Linked DNA regions of Anolis sagrei. The main gene of each other region encodes a partner of the protein of the gene in region 2 in a complex. Links are inferred from orthologs where the notes say so. Each region holds a gene or a part of one and is shown on either strand. Other genes may lie near its edges. The genes, in order: PHF12 and SIN3B.

Region 1 (9,805 bases), on a different chromosome or scaffold from region 2:
AGAAAGGAAGAGAATGGAAAAAGGGAAAAGAGGGGGGAAGGAAGTAGGATGTTGGGGAGAGAAGAGAGGATGGGGGACGGAGGAAAAGAAGAGAAGGGAAAGGGAAGGAAGGGGGTGAAGGGAAGGTAGAAAGAGGGCAAGAAGAGAGGAGAGGGGGAATGGAGGAAGGGGAAGGAAAGAAAGAGAAAAGAAGGGAAAGGAGGGCGAAGGGAAGAAGAAGGGGACATGGATGAAATGTAGTTGGGAAGAGAAGAGGAGGAGAGGGGGAAAGGAGGAAGAGAAGAGAAAGGGAAAGAGGGATGGATGGAGGGAACAAGAAGGGGATCCTCTTTGAGTTGATAAAGTGGAGAATTAATTAATTAATAATAATAATAATAATAATAATAATAATAATAATGGAGGGAAGGCAGGAAGAGGGAGCGATAGTTGAAATTGAGCTTGGAAGAGAGGAGGAGGGAATGGAGGATGAGAAAAGAAGGGAAGAGGAAGGAGGGGGAAGGGAAATGAAAAGGGAGACATATTTGAAAATGTGTTGGAGAGAGAAGAGAGGAGTGGGAAAGGAGGAAAAGAAGAGAAGGGAAAGGATGGATGGATGGATGAAGGGAAGGTAGGAAGAGCAGGAGATGGGCAAAATGGAGCTTAGAAAAGTGGAGAGGGGGAATGGAGGAAGAGAAAAAGAAGGGAAGGAAAAGGAAGGGGTGAAAAAGGAAGAGATGAAAGGAAGGGAGGGGAGTGATAAAGGGAAGGTAGGATGAGGGGACATGGGTGAAAAGGCATTGGGGAGTGAAGAGAGGAGGAGAGGGGGAAGGGAGGAAAAGAAGAGAAGGGAAAGGATGGATGCATGGATGGATGAAGAGAAGGTAGGAAATGGAGGAAGTGAAAAGAAGGGAGAGGATGGGGCGAAGAGAGGGTAGGAAGAAAGGAGAGATAATAATAACAACAGCTATATTCTTCTATCCTGCCACCGTGTCCCCAAAGGGACTTGAGCGAAATGGAGCTTGGAAGAGTGAAGACGAGGAATGAAGAGAAAGAAGGTAGGAAGAGGGAGATGGGTGAAACAGAGTTTGGAAGAAAGGAGAGGGGGAAAGGAGGAAAAGCAGGGAAAGGAAAGGAAGGGAAAGAGAAGAGGAGAGGGAGTACGGAACAGAGGAAGAAAAGAAGAGAAAGAAAGGGGGTGGATTGAAGGATGGATGAAGGGAAGGAAGAGGGGGAGATGGGCAAAATTGAGCTTGGAAGAGCGGAGAAAGTGAAAAGAAGAGAAGAGAAAGGAAGGGGTGAAGGAAGGGTAGGAAGAGGGAGCGATGATAATAAGAATAATAACAAGTATATTGTTATATCCTGCAATCATCTCCCCAAAGGGACTAGGGTGAAATGGATCTTGGAAGAGTGGAGAGCAGGAGTGGAGGAAGGGAAGGGAAAGGAAGAGAAAGGAGGGAGAAGGGAAGGGAAGGTAGGATCTGGGTGAAAAGGTGTTGGGGAGAAAATGGAGAGAATAGAGGAAAAGAGCGGAAGGCGAAGGATGGATGGATGAAGCGAAAGGGGGGTCCCCTTTGAGTTGATAAAGTGGTGTGTAAACAAGCATAATACTACCACTACTACCTCTATTATTATTATTATTATTATTATTATTATTAATAATAATAATAATAATAATAATATTGAAGGGAATGGAGGAAGAGGGAGATATGGGCGAAATGGATCTTGGAAGAGTGGAAAGGTGGAAGGGAGGAAGAGAAAAGAAGGGATGAGAAAGGAAAGGAAAGGGAAGGTAGGATGAGGGGGATCTGGGTGAAAAGTTGTTGGGGAGAGAAAGGGGGGAATGGAGGAAAAGAAGGGAAAGATGGCTGGATGAAGGGAATGGGAAGGGGTCCCCTTTGGGTTGATAAAGTGGTGTGTAAACAAATATAATAACAACAATCATAATAAGTTTGTTTACACACCACTTTAACAACATTGAAGGGAAGAGGGGGAGAGGGGCAAAATGGAGCTTGGAAGAGAGGAGAAGGTAATGGAGGAACGGAAGAGAAGGAGAGGGGTGGATGGAGGGAGTGGGAAGGGGGGGGGTTCCTTTGTGGTGTGTAAATAAACACAATAATAATATTGAAGGGAAGGGGACAAAAGGGAGAGAGGGGGGAAATGGAGCTTGGAAGAGAGGAGAGGGGGAAGGGAGAAAGAGAAGAGAAGGAGAGGGATAGATGGAGGGAGTGGGAAGGGGGGTTCCCCTTTGAGGTGTGTAAATAAATACAATAATAATATTGAGGGGAAGGAGGGAAGAGGGGGGAACAGAGCTTGTAAGAGTGGAGAATGGGAAGGGAGGAAGAGGAGGGGGGGTCCCCTTTGAGGTGTGTAAATAAATACAATAATAATATTGGAAGGAAGGGGAGAAGAGGTTGAGACAGGCAAAATGGAGCTTGGAAGAGAAGGAGAGGGGAATGGAGGAAGAGAAGGAGAGGGAAGGGGGGTCCCCTTTGTGGTGTGTAAATAAACACAATAATAATCTTGAGGAAGGGGGGGAAGGGAGCTTGGAAGAGAGGAGAGGGGAATGGAGGAAGAGAAGAAAAAGAGAGGGATGGATTGATGGAGTGAGTGGGATGGGGGAGTTGATAAAGTGGGTTGATAAAGTTGATAAAGTGAGTTGATAAAGTGGGGTGTAATAATAATAATATATTTGCTTACACACCACTTTAATGATATTGAGGGGAAGTGAGGAAGAGGAGAGGGATGGATGGATGGATGGAGTGGGAAAGGGGGTCCCCTTTGAGGTATGTAAATAAACACAATAATAATATTGAGGGGAAGGGGGAAGAAGGAGCAAGGGGCAAAATGGAGCTTGGAAGAGAGAGGGAGGGAGGGATTGGGAAGGGGGGTTGCCTTTGAGGTGTGTATATAAATACAATAATAATCTTGAGGGAGGGGGGAAGGAAGCTTGGAAGAGTGGAGAGTGGGAAGGGAGGAAGAGAAGAGAAAGAGAGAGGGATGGATGAAGGGAGTGGGAAGGGGGTCCTCTTTGAGGCGTGTAAATAAACACAATAATAACCTTGAGGGAGGGGGGAAGGGAGCTTGGAAGAGAGGAAGAGAGGAGAGTGGGAAGGGAGAAAGAGAAGAGAAGGAGAGGGATAGATGGAGGGAGTGGGGAGGGGGGTTCCCCTTTGAGATGTGTAAATAAACACAATAATAATATTGAGGGGAAGGGGGAAGAAGGAGCAAGGGGCAAAATGGAGCTTGGAAGAGAGGAGAGGGGAATGGAGGAAAGAGAGGGAGGGAGGGAGGGAGGGAATGGGAAGGGGGGGGGTTCCCCTTTGAGGTGTGTAAATAAACAAAATAATAATAATAATGGAAGGGGAGAAGAGGGAGAGAGGGGCAACATGGAGCCTGGAAGAGAAGAGAAGGGATAGATGGATGGAGTGGGATGGGTCCCCTTTGAGGTGTGCAAATAAATACAACAGTAATATTGAAGGGAAGAGGGAGAGAGGGGGGGGAAATGGAGCTTGGAAGAGAGGAGAGGGAGGGAGTGGGAAGGGGGGGGTTCCCCTTTGAGGTGTGTAAATACAATAATAATATTGAAGGGTAGGGAGGAAGAGGGAGGGAATGGAGCTTGGAAGAGAAGGAGAGGGGTGGATGGATGGAGGGGGTGGGAAGGGGGACCCCTTTGAGGTGTGTAAATAAACACAATAATAATATTGGAAGGAAGGTGAGAAGAGGAAGAGGGGGGGGGATGGAGCTTGGAAGAGAGGAGAGGGAGGGAGTGGGAAGGGTAAGAGAGGAGAGGGGAATGAAGAGAAGGAGTGGGAAGGGGGGTCCCCTTTGAGGTATGTAAATACAATAATAATCTTGAGGGGGGGAGCTTGGAAGAGAGGAAAGTGGGAAGGGAGAAAGAGGAGAGAAGGAGGGATAGATGGAGGGAGTGGGAAGGGGGTCCCCTTTGAGGTGTGTAAATAAATACAATAATATTAAAAGGAAGGGGAGAAGAGGACAGGGAAGGGGGGGTTCCCCTTTGAGGCGTGTAAATAAACACAATAATAATCTTGAGGGGGGGGGAGGGAGCTTGGAGAGGGGGAAGGGAAGAGGAGGGTAGAGGGGAGGGGACTGACCAGCACTGGAGGTGGAAGGCGGCGGGGCAGTGGTCGCAGCAGAGCAGGTCCCCGCCTTCCTTGCAGCTGTCGCAGCTGTCGTGGTTGGTGGCCCTCCCGCTCCTCCTCTGGGCCGAGGCAGCGGCGGAGGCGGAGGAGGAGGAGTGGTGGTGCTGGGGGTGGTGATGGTGATGCTGCTGGTGGTGGTGGTGCTGGGGGTGGTGATGGTGGGGCTCCCCGCCTCCTCCTCGCTCTGTCCTGCGGCTCCTCTTCTCGGTCCCGAGCAAGGCGGCGTCGTCGCTGCGGGGAGGCGCCAGGAGGGCCTGGATTTGCTGAGGGAGAAAGAGGGAGAGAGAGAAGGTGAGGGGAGAGAAGGGAGAAAGAAGGGGGGTAGGGTTCCCCTCACTCCCTGACTGCCTCCCTGACTGACCCACCTCCATGAGGCCCCCCGAAGTGTCGAGGTCGTAGACGACCGTCTTGGCCTCCATCCTCTCCCACATCCGAGGCCTAGCTGAGGGGCGACGCCTCCTCCTCCTTCGCCGCCTTCGCCTCCTTCTTCTCCGCCCGCCGACTAGGCCTCGTCCCGGCCATGACAGGGGGCGGCGACGCCCGGGCTCCCTCTTTCTCCTCCTCCTCTCCCGCCGGGCCTGAGGGGATCACTCTCCACTCTTCACCGCCGTCGCCTCCCCCTCACACACAGGGCCCCGCCGCCGCCGCCGTCACAGCCCTCGCCGCGCAGGCGCACTTCGCCTTCCCGACACAGCGCATGCGCGTAGCACAGGGCGGCCACCGCGCAGGCGCCGACTAGCCCAAGCCACCCGCTTCGTTCGTTGTGACGGGGAAAGGAGGGAGGGCTGCGAGAGGAAACAGCGCATGCGCCGTTTCCTCCCTTTCCGCCCCGCCTCTCTTTCTTCTTCTTCTTCTCCTCATCCCCGCCCCTCCCCTTCTTTGCGCTCGAGACGCACTGGCCTCCCTCTCTGCGCAGGCGCAGGGCCGCCCGCTTTTTTCGACGCATGCGCTGTTGCCCGCTCGCTCATTTGACATCTTTGAAATAAGAATTTTTCTGCGTGTGTGTGTCTATCTATCTTCCTATCTAATCTATCTATCTATCTATCTATCTAATCTATCTATCTAATTTATCTAATCTAATCTATCTAATCTATCTATCTAATCTATCTATCAATCAATCTATCTAATCTATCTAATTTATCTATATCTATCTAATCTATCTATCTAATCTATCTATCAATCTATCTAATCTATCTAATCTATTTATCTAGAGATAGACATATATATATATATGCAAAAACACACACATTTCTATACATTGATATGTATAGATGTGTGTACACAATATATGTGTATGCTATATCTGTATACTATGTGTATACTATATATAATAATATACTATAATAATAATATACTATATGTGTGTATATAGTATATTATATATAGTATAGTATATATGCGTGGGCTGGTCCATGAGGTCACGAAGAATCGGAGACGACTGAACGAATGAACAACAAATATGTGTGTATACTATATGTATGTGTACTATATGTGTACATACTATATGTGTACTATATGTGCTTTGAGTCCCCTACGGAGTGAGAAAGGGGAGTAGAAATGTAATAAACAAATAAATATATACTATATGTGTATACTATATGTGTTTATACTATATATGTTTATACTATATGTGTGTGTGCTATATGTGTGTACTATATATGTGTGGATACTATATGTACTATATATGTGCGTGTACTGTGTATACATATGTGTGCGTACTATATTTGTGTATACTATGTGTACTATATGTGTATACTATATCATATATATGTGTATATTATATATGTTTATACTATATGTGTGTGTACTATGTATGTGTGGATACTACATGTGTATACTATATCGTATATATGTGTATATTATATATGTTTATACTATATGTGTGTGTACTATGTATGTGTGGATACTACATGTGTATACTATATCGTATATATGTGTGTATACTATATGCGTATACTATATTGTACATATGTGTATACTATATATGCTTATACTATGTGTGTGTACTATATGTATGTACTATATATGTGTGTATACTATATGCGTATACTATATTGTATATATGTGCATATGTGTGTATAGTATATATGTTTACACTATATGTGTGTGTACTATGTATGTGTGGATACTACATGTGTATACTATATTGTACATATGTGGATACTATATGTGCTTATACTATGTGTGTGTACTATGTATGTGTGGATACTATATGTGTATACTATATTGTACATATGTGGATACTATATGTGCTTATACTATGTGTGTGTACTATGTGGGTGTACTATATATGTGTGTATACTATGTGTGTATAGTATATTGTATATATATGCATATGTATGCATACTATATATGTTTACACTATATGTGTGCGTACTATATGTGTGCATATTATATATTTGTATATTATATGTGTATACTATATGTACTATATGTGTGTATGTTTGTGTACTGTGTGCTTACTAAATGTGTGTGTATATACATGTGTGTTACTATATGTGTGTATACATGTGTGTGTACTATGTGTGTATACTATGTGTACTATATGTGTATACTATCTAGTATATATGTATGTATATATGCATATACTGTTTGTGTGTATATACAATATACAATATACTTGAAGGAGCTGGGGGTGGTGACGGCCAACAGGGAGCTCTGGCGTGGACTGGTCCATGAGGTCATATATTTTATTTTATTATTCCAAATAATTATATAATATTATATATTTATTATGATTCAAAATAATTACAATACATATTAATTTTTAATTACATGCTATTTTATTATTAAAATACGGCTGAACGAATGAACAACAAATATATACACATCTGTATTTAATAATATGAGGTCTATATCTAGTTTTTATCTCTTTATTCTTCCTTTAATATATGTAAAATATGAATATATACATGTGTGTGTGTGTGTGTGTGTGTACAAATGTAGTTTCCCGCCCTTTCCCCACTCTCTCCTTTCAGGGTCCCTTCTGCGCATGCGCGTTCTACCCCTCCGCGCGTTGCTAGTGCGCACGCGCGCAGCTGGACTGTTTCTTCTTCCCCTCCCTTCGCAAAGAATGGGCTTCTTTGCCGTTCGCGCGTGCGCAGAAAGCTCCCCCGCCGGGGCGCAGACAGCGCACGCGCAGGAAAAAAAAAATATAACTGAGCGGGCTAATGGGTCGAGGGGAACGGCAATTGTGTTCGCGATGGATGCTTCCGGTTCTGTTCACACCTCTGCGAGATCTATATAGTAATAAACACTAATAATGATATAAAATAATAGAATAATAGAATAGAATAATAATAGAATAGAATAATAATAATAGCATTAATGCTAAATTGCCAAAATATTATATAATCATATACAATAATAAAATAAAAATAAAAATAAAATAATAATATAATAAATGAATAATAGTAAATTGTAAAACAAATTATGTAATATAATTATATAGAATAATAATAATAAAGTAATATATAATATAACATGTAAATTAATACGTAATATAATGTAATAATAATAGTAATAGCATTAATGCTAAATTGCCAAAATATTATATAATCATATAGAATAATAAAATAATAATACAAATAAAATAATAATATAATAAATGAATAATAGTAAATTGTAAAACAAATTATGTAATATAATTATATAGAATAATAATAATAAAGTAATATATAATATAACATGTAAATTAATACGTAATATATTGTAATAATAATAATAGCATTAATGCTAAATTGCCAAAATATTATATAATCATATAGAATAATAAAATAATAATAAAAAATAAAATAATAATATAATAATATAATTATTATAGTAAATTGTAAAAAGAATTATGTAATATAATTACATAGAATAATAATAAATATATAATATAACATGTAAATTAATACGTAATATAATGTAATTATACAGATTAATAATAAAATGGAATAATATAGAATAAAAATAAGTTAATATATAATATAATTATATGAATAATAATAAATTAATAAAAATATATCATTTTGAATAATAATAAAATAATATAAACTATATCATATAATTATATAGAATAAATTAATATGTAGCAATTATTTAGGATAACAATAAAATAATATAAAATATATAATGTAATTATATAGAACAATAATATAAAATATAATCCCATAGAATAATAATAAATTAATATAAAATGTTATATAATTATTTAGGATAACCATAAAATAATATAAAAATAATATAATTATATAGAATAATAATATAAAATATAATCCCATTGAATAATAATAAATTAATATTAAATGTTATATAATTAAGTAGGATATCAATAAAATAATATAAAATATAATTATATAGAAAATTAATATAAAATATAATCCCATAGAATAACAATAAATTAATATAAAATTTTATATAATTATTTAGGATAACAATAAAATAATATACAATATAATTATATAGAATAATAATATAATGTATATTTCCATAGGAAAAAAATAAATTAATATTAAATATCATATAATTATTTAGGATAACAATAATAAAAAGATATAAAATAATATAATATAAAATAAAATATATAATATAATATAAAATATATAATATAATTATATAGAAAAATAATATAAAATGTAATCCCGTAGAATAATAATAAATTAATATAAAATGTTATATAATTATTTAGGATAACAATAACATAATGTAAAATATTATATAATATAATGTATATTTCCATAGAATAATAATAAATTAATACAAAATATCATATAATTATTTAGGATAACAATAATAAAATGATATAAAATAATATAAAATATATAATATAATATAAAAATATAATATAATTATATAGAAAAATAATATAAAATAATGATACATTAATATTAAATATCAATAAAATAATTAATAAAATATCAATAAAATAATATAAAATATAATTATATAGAATAATAATATAAAATATAATATAAAATAATCTCATAGAATAATAAAAAAATATTATTAAATATTATATAATTATTTAGGATAACAGTAAAATAATGTAAAATATTATATAATATAATGTATATTTCCATAGAATAAGAATAAATTAATACAAAACATCATATAATTATTTAGGATAACAATAATAAAATGATATAAAATAATATAAAATATATAATATAATATAAAAATATAATATAATTATATAGAAAAATAATATAAAATAATGATACATTAATATTAAATATCAATAAAATAATTAATAAAATATTAATAAAATAATATAAAATATAATTATATAGAATAATAATATAAAATATAATATAAAATAATCTCATAGAATAATAATAAATTAATATTAAATATTATATAATTATTTAGGATAACAATAAAATAATGTAAAATATTATATAATATAATGTATATTTCCATAGAATAATAATACATTAATACAAAATATCATATAATTGTTTAGGATAACAATAATAAAATGATATAATATAATATAATATATATTATATTATATGTAATATATAATATAATTATATAGAAAAATAATATAAAATATAATCCCATAGAATAATAATAAATTAATATAAAATGTTATATAATTATTTAGGATAACAATAATAAAATGATATAAAATAATATAACATAAAATATATAATATAATATAAAATATATAATATAATTAT
Region 2 (10,784 bases):
TCTGCACTCTCCCCGGATTTGAACCTCCGAGTTCTGTGGGTTGTGTGTCATAAAGACAGGCAGGTATCCAATGTGGTTGCTGGGGTTGCTTTTTTTTGGGGGGGGGGGGGGAATTGTTTCTGTATGAACTTTTAAAAATCCCCAAAAGTCTGTATATCTATGAATCTTTCTGAAAGTTCTGGGGATCTTTTTCCAATGTCAGGAACAACTTGAGAAACTGCAAGTCACCTCTGGTGTGAGAGAATTGGCTATCTGCAAGGATGTTGTCCAGGGTTACACCCGGGTGTTTTGATGTTTTACCATCCTTGTGGGAGGCTTATCTCATGTCCCCGCATGGGGAGCTGGAGCTGACAGAGGGAGCTCATCTGCACTCTCCCCGGATTTGAACCTCCAACCTGTCGGTCTTCAGTTCTGTTGGCACAATGGTTAAACCCATTGTACCACCGGGGGCTCCTGTTCTAGGGATTGATGCCCTGGTTATCTTGTGCATTGTATAAAAAATCCAAGTAGATAGCTCTTGTAGTTTTTTTTAAGTGCTGTTTATAAAATCTTTTTAAAATTCCCCAAAAATCTGTGGATTAGTGAAATATTCTGAAATTTGGTAGGCTAACTGGGGTAAGCAGGTTCTACCATTGTAGCAAGTTTCACTCCAATAGCTTTCAAAATGAGGAAGAAACGAGCTCCTGGAGTTTCCCCAATTATAGTATTTATACCATTTTTAATAGATCGCACATCCCTACTATAGATATAGACTAGACCTGGGCAAACTTGGGCCCTTTCTCCCTCCAGGTGTTTTGTACTTCAACTTCCACAATTCCTAACAGCCTCAGTCCCTTTCCTTTCTTACCTTTGCGCTTAAGTGGCTGAGGGGGGAAAGGAAGGGGCCTGAGGCTCTGAGGAATGGTGGGAGTTGGAGCCCAAAACACCTGGAGAGAAGGAGGGAGGGCCCAAGTTTGCCCAGGCCTGATATAAATGGACATGATATAAGTGCTAGATCAGCATTTCTCAACCTGGAGGTCGGGACCCCTACGGGGGGGGGGGGGGGTCGCGAGGGGGTTTCCAGAGGGGTTGCCAAAGACAACCAGAAAACATATATTTCCAATGGTCTTAGGATCCCCTTTGGCAGAGAAAGCAGAAGATTTTTCACCTGTCCTTCTCTTCCTTTTTGGAAACAGACAGCGAATCCCCCTACCAAAAGCTCTCCTCTGCTGTGATTCGCCAGCCTCTCAGCCAAGGGGAGGGCTGTTTCTGAGACTCCAAGCCGGGAGAGGGGAGAGCAGGCGTGCTCGGCACATGGCAGTGTGGTGTGAATGTGCGGGTGAGGGAGAGCATGCGAGCCTGGAGGGAGGCTCACGCCAGCGAGTCCCTTCAAAACATGGGGGTTCTGTGTGCCAAGATTGGCCAAATTCTATCATTGGTGGGGTTCAAAATGCTCTTTCACTGTAGGTGAACTCTAAATCCCAGCAACTACAATGGCCAAATGGCAAGGTCTATTTTCCGCAAACTCCTCCACATCTGGGCATATTGAGTATCCATGCCAAGTTTGATCCAGATCCATCACTGTTTGAGTCCACAATGCTCTCTGGATGGAGGCAAACTACAACTCCAAAACTCAAGGTCAATGCCCACCAAACCCTTCTAGTATTTTCTGTGGGTCATGGGAGTTCTGTGTGTCAAGTCTGGTTTAATTTCATCGTTGGTGGGGTTCAGAATACTCTTTGACTGTAGGTGAACTATAAATCCCAGCAACGACAACTCCCAAATGAAAAAATCAATCCTCTCCCACCCCACTAGTATTCAAATTTGGGTATATTGGATATTTGTGCCAAATTTGGTCCAGTGAATGAAAATACATCCTGCATATCAGATATTTACATGACGATTCATAACAATAGCAAAATGAGAGTTATGAAGTAGCAACGAAAATATGTTTATGGTTGGGGTTCACCACAACATGAGGAACTATATTCAGGGGTCGTGGCATTAGAAAGGCTGAGATAGATAGATAGATAGATAGATAGATATAGATAGATGGTCTGATAGATAAATATAGATAGATAGTCAGACAGATAGATATAGATAAATTGATGGTCTGATAGATAGTCAGATAGATAGATATAGATAGATAATCAGATAGACTGACAGATATAGATAAATTGATGATCTGATAGATCAGTGGTTCTCAACCTGGGGTCCCCAGATGTTTTTGGCCTTTAATTCCCAGAAATCCTAACAGCTGGTAAACTGGCTAGGATTTCTGGGAGTTGTAGGCCAAAAACATCTGGGGACCCCAGGTTGAGAACCACTGTGATAGATAGTCAGATAGATAGATAGATAGATAGATAGAGATAGATGGTCTGATAGATAGATAGTCAGATAGATAGATAGATAGATAGATATAGATAGTCAGATAGACGGATAGATATAGATAAATTGATGGTCTGATAGATAGATTGTCAGATAGATAGATAGATAGATAGATAGATAGATATAGATAAATTGATGGTCTGATAGATAGTCAGATATATATATATATATATATATATATATATATATATATATTGATGGTCTGATAGATAGATATAGATAGATGGTCTGATAGATAGATAGATAGATAGATAGATAGATAGATAGATATAGATAGATAGATAGATTGATGGTCTGATAGTCAGGTAGATAGATATAGATACTCAGATAGACGGATAGATATAGATAGATTGATGGTCTGATAGTCAGATAGATAAATGTAGATTTATTTATTTATTTATTTATTAGGCTTGTATACCGCCACCCCCAATTTGGCTCGGAGTGGTTTATAGCAGTAGATTAAAACAATACAACCAACCTCAAAATACAATAAAAACGAGAACAGACACAGTCCCGAGTTATTCACCCATTGAAAGCTTGTCGGAAAAGAAAGGTTTTACAGGCTTTCCGAAAAGCAAGTAGCTCTCGGATGGTTCGGGTTTCAACTGGCAAGGCCTTCCATAAATAAGGGGCCACAATCGAGAAGGGTCTCTGCCTAGCAGAGGACAGATGGTAAGTCCGGATGTTGGGGACTTCAAGCAAATTTTGGTCTTCGGACTGATGATGGTCTGATAGATAGATTGTCAGATAGATAGATAGATAGATAGAGATAGATCGATAGAGATAGATAGATAAGTCTGATAGATAGTATCTATGTATCTGATAGTATCTATGGTCTGATAGTCAGATAGGTATTTTTTTGTCAGATAGATAGATCGATAGAGATAGATAGATCGATATAGATAGATAGAGATAGATATAGTCTGATAGATAGTATCTATGTATCTGATAGTATCTATGGTCTGATAGTCAGATAGATTTTTTTTGTCAGATAGATAGATCGATAGAGATAGATAGATCGATATAGAGATAGATATAGTCTGATAGATAGTATCTATGTATCTGATAGTATCTATGGTCTGATAGATAGTCAGATAGATTTTTTTTTGTCAGATAGATAGGAGATAGATAGATCGATATAGAGATAGATATAGTCTGATAGATAGTATCTATGTATCTGATAGTATCTATGGTCTGATAGATAGTCAGATAGATTTTTTTTTTGTCAGATAGATAGATCGATAGAGATAGATAGATCGATATAGAGATAGATATAGTCTGATAGATAGTATCTATGTATCTGATAGTATCTATGGTCTGATAGATAGTCAGATAGATTTTTTTTTTGTCAGATAGATAGATCGATAGAGATAGATAGATAGAGATATAGTCTGATAGATAGTATCTATGGCCTGATAGTCAGATAGATTTTTTTTTGTCAGATAGATCAATATAGATAGATAGATAGATATAGTGATAGATAGTATCTGTGTATCTGATAGTATCTATGGTCTGATAGATAGTCAGATAATTTTTTTTTGTCGTGTCAGGAGCGACCTGAGAAACTGCAAGTCGCTTCTGGCGTGAGAGAATTGACTGTCTGCAAGGACGTTGCCCAGGGGATGATTTTGATGTTTTTATCATCCTTGTGGAAGGCTTCTCTCCTGTCCCCGCATGGGGAGCTGGAGCTGACAGAGGGAGCTCATCCGCCTCTCCCCGGATTCGAACCTGCGACCTGTCGGTCTTCAGTCAAATAGATAGATAGATAGATAGATAGAGATAGATGGTCTGAAAGATGGATTGATAGATAGATAGAGATAGAGATATATGTTCCATACATTCATTCTACCCAGTTTATTGGGCGTTTTGCAACCCCCCCAAAAGGGGGGCAAAAGGGGGAGAGGGGGTTAAAGGACCCCCTCCCCAATATTCGAGGATTGGGAGGGGCTTTTCTTCCCAACCCCCAACTTCTCCTCTCCCTCTCCTCCCCCCCTTCCCCCCCTCATCTTACTTACGTGGACAGGAAGCTTCTCCCCGGTGGGCCCCCCGTTTGCTGCTGTGGCTGCCCGGCCCCCCAAGCGCGGACCCGCTCGGCCGCCGCCCCCCGCCGCCATGTCCCTCGCTCCCTCCCTCCTTCCCTCCCTCCTTCCTTCCTTCTTTCCTTCCTCCGCCTTTTGCGTCACCGCGCTCGGGGAGGTGGGGCCAAAGCGGAACCTTCGCGCTTCGGGAAGAAGCACCCGCCCGGAAGGGAAAAAGGAACCGGACCGGAAGAGGGTACAGCGCAGAAAGAGCGGCCAAACAAATAGGCGCGCGGCTGAGGGGGGGGGGGGGGGGCATAGAGTTGCGGCGCAGAGCGGCCAAAGGAAGGGACCAGGAAGTGAAGGACACCGCTCTTCTCTCGAGCGAGGGAAAGACTTGACGTTTGTGATGAAATGCAGGATCAGGAGACCCAACCCTACTTTACTTGCTCCATCCATGTTCAACATCTACACAAATGGCCAGCCACTGCCAGAAGGGACAGAGAGTTTCATCTATGCTGATGATCGTGCCATCACCGCTCAAGCAGGGAGCTTTGAGATGGCAGAACAGAAGCTTTCCGAAGCTCTTACTGCCTATTACAGGGAAAACCAGCTGGACTACTGCAATGCGCTCTACGTGAGGCTGCCCTTGAAGACAGCTCGGAAGTTGCAACTGGTGCAACGATCAGCAGCAAGGATGTTAACGGGAGCCCCTTACAGAGAGAGGTCAACCCTCCTGTTCAATTTATTTATTTACTTTGCTTGTATACCGCAGTTTCTCAGCCCGTAGGCGACTCAACGCGGTTCACAACAAGAGCAAAAGACAATCCAACAACATACAATATTAAAACTATTAACAGTATAAAATATAAACTAATGACATCTCAATAACAACACATTAACGTCTCGTAACTAAAATCGTGATCCAATTCGTCATCCATAATTCCGTTTCCTATATTCATCGTGTTCATTGCACTATTTATCCGAACGCCTGTTCAAACAGCCAGGTTTTTAGTTTTCTTCAAAACACCATTAGCGAAGGGGCTGATCTAATGTCCATGGGAAGGGCGTTCCACAGCCGAGGGGCCACCACAGAGAAGGCCCTGTCCCTCGTCCCCGCCAGCCTTGCTTGTGATGCAGGCGGGATCAAGAGCAGGGCCTCCCCAGAAGATCTTAGTGTCCTGGTGGGTTCATAGGCAGAGATACGTTCGGATAGGTAACTTGGGCCAGAACCGTTTAGGGCTTTATAGGCCAACGCCAGCACTTTGAATTGAGCCCGGTTCAAGGAGCTCCACTGGCTATATTCCGAGCTCAATTTAAGGTGCAGGTGCTTACCTACAAAGCCCTGAACGGTTTGGGACCAGCTTACCTGCGTGACCACATTTCCATCTACGAACCCACACGCTCACTTCGGTCATCTGGAGAGGCCCTGCTCATGATCCCACCTGCGTCGCAAGCGCGCTTGGTGGGGATGCGGGACAGGGCCTTTTCCGTGGTGGCCCTCAGACTCTGGGTCCTCCCCAAAGACCTTAGACAGGCCCCCACACTGGCAGTCTTCAGAAAGAACTTGAAGACTTGGCTTTTCCGATGCACCTTCCCAGATTAGGAAATCTCCACTACCAAGTCCCATAAGCACCTTATCAGAACCAATGACTGCTGCACATCACACTTGCCCTAGAAGACTCATATACACCACCTGTCACATCAGCACTTTTAATTCTTGTACCCATTACTTTGGCCTGGCCCAGTTTTTATTGTGTTTTAGTGTATTGCTTTTGCCTGTTGTTTATCTGCTTTATCCTGTTTTTAATTGTTTGATTTGCCTAGTTTGTATTGCTATGTTGTGTGTTGAGGCCTCGGCCTGTGTAAGCCACATCGAATCCTTCGGGATTAGCGGGGTACAAATAAAGTTTAATAATAATAATAATAATAATAATAATAATAATCCCCAACCCATCTAAAACACAGACATGTGCTTTTCATCTCAAGAACAGAGAAGCATCCCGAGCTCTGAGGATCACCTGGGAAGGAATCCCACTGGAGCATTGCAGCGCACCCAAATACCTGGGAGTCACTCTGGACAGTGCTCTTACCTACAAAAAGCACTGCCTGAATATCAAGCAAAAAGTGGGTGCTAGAAACAATATCATACGAAAGCTGACTGGCACAACCTGGGGATCACAACCAGATACAGTGAAGACATCTGCCCTTGCGTTGTGCTACTCTGCTGCTGAGTACGCATGCCCAGTGTGGAACACATCTCACCACACTAAAACAGTGGATGTGGCTCTTAATGAGACATGCCGCATTATCACGGGGTGCCTGCGCCCTACACCACTGGAGAAATTACACTGCTTAGCTGGTATTGCGCCACCTGACATTTGCCGGGAAGTAGCAGCCAATAGTGAAAGGACCAAGGTAGTGACATCTCCAGCTCATCCCTTGTTTGGGTATCAGCCAGCACGTCAACGACTTAAATCTAGAAATAGTTTTCTAAGATCTACAGAGACGCTCGCTGGAACACCTCAGCAAGCGGGAGTCCAAAAGTGGCAGGCTCAAACCCAGAACCTCAAGCAATGGCTGATACCAAATGAGAGACCCCCCCCCTGGGCACAAAGAAGACTGGGCGATTTGGAAGGCACTGAACAGACTGCGCTCTGGCACCACGAGATGCAGAGCCAACCTTCAGAAATGGGGCTACAAAGTGGAATCCTCGACATGCAAGTGTGGAGAAGAGCAAACTACAGACCACTTGCTGCAATGCAACCTGAGCCCTGCCACATGCACAATGGAGGACCTTCTTGCGGCAACACCAGAAGCACTCCAAGTGGCCAGATACTGGTCAAAGGACATTTAATCAACTACCAAACTCACATATTTTGTATTTTGTCTGTTTGTTTGCTTTGTTCTGTTAGAAATGTAATATAATCGACTGGTTGCCCTGACACTACAAATAAATACTGAGAAAGGCCGACACAAGCCGTATACAAGGCCGCCATCTAGTGTCTCATTGCAGAAAAGCAGGCCCTTTATTCACTCCCTATTAAAAGATGCCCTCTAATGGCTATGTGGCAGCTATTTCACCTCTGCCCACTGAAAGCCAAAACCAAGGTCACAACATCTGTTATAGAACTCCAATATGCCGATGATAACGTAGTCTGTGCGCATTCAGAAGAAAACCTACATGCCTCTCTAAATACCTTTGCAGAAGCATATGGGAAGCTCAGGCTCTCACTGAACACTGAGAAAACCAAAGTGATCTTCCAGCAAAAGGCACCGACCAATCCCTCTGCAATGCCAGAAATACAGCTTAATGGTGCAACATTCTTCAACTTATTTAGGAATATTGGGCTTCTTCGTCTTGCCAGATTTCTTCAGCCTTCTTTGTCCACCAGATGTTCTTGACTTCTCTTGTCCTTTGGACCTCAGCTTTTGCACTGGCATAGATCTTTTTCTTAGCAACAGAGTTGACATCTCTCTGCCATATTTTTAGCATAGTACAATATCAGTATTATATATTACTATACCATTATATTATACCTGAGGTCGTCAAACAGATGAAAGTGGAGCCAAGGTTCGGATCATGAGAAATGAAATTTATTCAGAAGAGACACCGACACAACGAGCTACAAGGGTTATGGTCAATTATGAGGTTGTTTGTGAACCGTTGCCAAACCTGACCTCGAACCCATAGACTTATAATGGGACAGAAGCAACATTGGGGTTGGGCTAAACCTGCCTTCAAAGAAACCAGCATTAAGGCAGTTGTTTGCAAAACATGGCATGGACTTCACAAAGAGAGAAAGCCATTGCTTTGGGGGGAAACGAAACACAATAACACGCAAACCTGGGATGAAATGGCAACCTGGGATTGGCTCGAACGAAGAAGAGGCACCAACATGGATCTCTCTCTCTCTCCCTCCCCATCTATAGAGGAGAAGGAGCTAATACTCAGGCTAATACTTGCAAGGCTCCGGCCTCCTTCCCGGGCAACAGCTACTCCTAAGACGGACAACACTGAACGGGGCTTTTCCCCAGACCTCCAAGCACCAAACGCACTCCGGAATGGGACTTATTTTTGGCCACATGCTACTGCGTCCGTAGCTGGTAATCTAGACAAAAAAGACAAAACGGATGAGTGAGCAAAGCTAGACCCTCCTGAAGGAAACGTGAAAATAATAATAATAATAATAATAATAATAATAATAATAAATCATTCTAATTATATTATATTATTATATAATAAAAATTACAAGATATGTTCCACTGTGCTTTTGATTAGACGATTTCCCCAGAAAAATGCTGGCTCCCAGTTATGACCCCAATTTACAGTCCCTGCACTTTACTACTGCCCCCCACTTAGAGATATAGTGTTCCACCTTATATTACCCATTACCACCATTTTTGGTTATCTGAGATAAAACACATAAAGCTGTTCAACAGTGGAACTCTCTGCCTCAGAATCCAGTGGAAGCTCCTTCCCTGGAGGCTTTGAAACAGAGGCTGGATGGCCATCTGTCGGAAGGGATTTGATTGTGCTTTTCCTTTTTTCTGTTGTCAACGCACCTCCGTTCTGCGTGATGTATCGCACCCACGGCAAGGCCTGGTAGCCGCTCTTCTCGATGATCTTCAAGTAGCGGACCTAAGGAGAGAAGGAGATATATTGCAACCCCAAGTGCTTCAGAAAAGAATAGAATAATAACAGTATATAATAACTTATTATTATTATTAACCTTATTTGTACCCCGCTAGCATCTCCCGAAGGACTTGATGCGGCTTACAAAGACCAAAGGCCTCAATAAAACAACAATATAACAAATACACATAAATCATAAAGCAAATCGAAACATTAAAGCAGTAACAGTACAATAATAAAACAATACACAGTAACCCAATAAAACTAGGGCTGGGCCAAATGTAATGGGTACAGATTAAAAAGTGCTGGGTATGACAGGTGGAATATAGGGATTTAGGGTAAGTGCAAAGTGCAGACAATCTTAAATCTCTATTAAAGTGCTTCTGGGACATGATTGCTGGGATTCCTATTCTGGAAAGGCACACCGGAATAGCCAAGTCTTCAAGCTCTTCCTGAAAACTGCCAATGTAGGGGCTTGTCTGATGTCCTTGGGAAGGGTATTCCAGAGTCGGGGGGCTACCACAGAGAAGGCCCTGTCCCTCGTCACCACCAACTGCGCTTGTGACGCAGGTGGGATCGTGAGCAGGGCCTCTCCAGATGAACGAAGGGACCGTGTGGGTTTGTAGACGGAGATGTGGTCGGAGAACTTTACTGTCATTGTACGTCATGCAATTGCATGTAGAACTGCAAAAACAAAGCACCCATCCTTCCACATTCTCATAACTATTTCACAACCCTGTAAAGTCATACCAGTATGAAAGCCTTAGAGTTCAATATAGAATCAAAGCTCTCTCTCGGCCAATCTGTCCTTGTTTTTAATCACCCTATCTTATCTGCCAGATGCTAATAATTCAAAAAAAAGAAGAATATCCAAGGTGAAATGGATCCTTAAGGATATTCTGAGCTTTCTCAAAGCAGCAGGGATTATTATACGAGGGGTATTTTTTAAGTAAGGTCCGTTTTGTTGTAGACACTAGTAGTTTGCGCGCATACCGCAACGAGCGTGTGTGTCGTGTACCGGCATGCCTCGGGAACAACTGTGCTCAGTTTCCGCTCTGTAGCTAACCTGTACAGTTCTGTTCTGTGCTTTAAACATGTTTAAGACTATCAACTCACCCTCCGCATGTGAGGTTCGCTCAGTGATACAGTTTTTGTCAGCAAGGAACCTGCCTGCTGCAGAAATTCATCGACAGATTTGTGAAGTGTACAGTGATGATACTGTTATGAGTGAAAGCAAAGTGCGCAAGTGGGTATGACAATTCAAAGATGGCCGTGACAACGTCCATGATGAGGACCGCTCTGGTCGCCCTTCTTTGATTACAGTGAACTCTTGGTTATCAGAGCAGGCGGCAAGTTTTTATGAAGAGGGTATTTTAAAATTGGTTCAGAGGTATGATAAGTGTTTGAACAAACTTGGCAACTATGTCGAAAAATAGAGTGAAGTATGTACTTTCTGAAAATAAATTTACTTTTTTGAAATAAACTTTTGTTGTGTACTTATGTTCAAACAGACCTTACTGAAAAAATACCCCTCGTAGATAGTCAAAATCTGGCTCTGGAAGCAGGCTTTTGAAAACAAGGGCAATGCAGTATGCCGAATATAGAATTGTGTGCAATTTGACCTTGGAATGGCCTTAGAACTTGAACTCTGGATGGTGTGTTCTCAACTTTGAATGTATTTTAACAATTTTAAATATGGTGTAATTTTAAACTATTTTAAGGTGAATTTGTTGTTTTGAGGCACTGTGTATGTGCTATTGTAA

The links.
Region 1: the proteins of SIN3B (region 2) and PHF12 are in contact, whole or in part, in a cryo-EM structure (PDB 8BPA), measured with the Homo sapiens proteins. The link is inferred for Anolis sagrei from reciprocal best matches to the Homo sapiens genes SIN3B and PHF12. Residues at the interface, in NP_056075.1 of Homo sapiens: Glu307, Phe311, Leu318, Glu322, Val323, Tyr324, Glu325, Asn326, Leu328, Arg329, Cys330, Ile331, Leu333, Phe334, Asn335, Glu343, Leu347, Pro350, Phe351, Lys354, Phe365, Lys395, Arg396, Glu490, Glu493, Leu494, Val497, Tyr545, Arg546, Ile547; in NP_001028733.1 of Homo sapiens: Leu20, Met21, Gln23, Ile24, Gln25, Leu27, Leu28, Pro30, Pro31, Lys32, Thr33, Asn264, Leu266, Val267, Leu269, Val271, Val273, Phe275, Thr276, Asn278, Arg279, Ser280, Arg282, Cys292, Pro293, Leu294, Pro316, Asn317, His318, Ile319.

The regions. Positions count from the first base shown.
Region 1 is NC_090031.1:34,606,558-34,616,362, reverse strand, and holds the start of PHF12 (PHD finger protein 12), read right to left. Parts: upstream 4,844-9,805; 5' UTR 4,571-4,843; coding exon 4,505-4,570; intron 4,403-4,504; coding exon 4,092-4,402; intron 1-4,091.
Region 2 is NC_090034.1:59,380,961-59,391,744, forward strand, and holds the start of SIN3B (paired amphipathic helix protein Sin3b), read right to left. Parts: upstream 4,497-10,784; 5' UTR 4,482-4,496; coding exon 4,383-4,481; intron 1-4,382. Other genes in the region: AP1M1 (AP-1 complex subunit mu-1), read right to left, coding at 8,475-8,497, 8,952-9,027.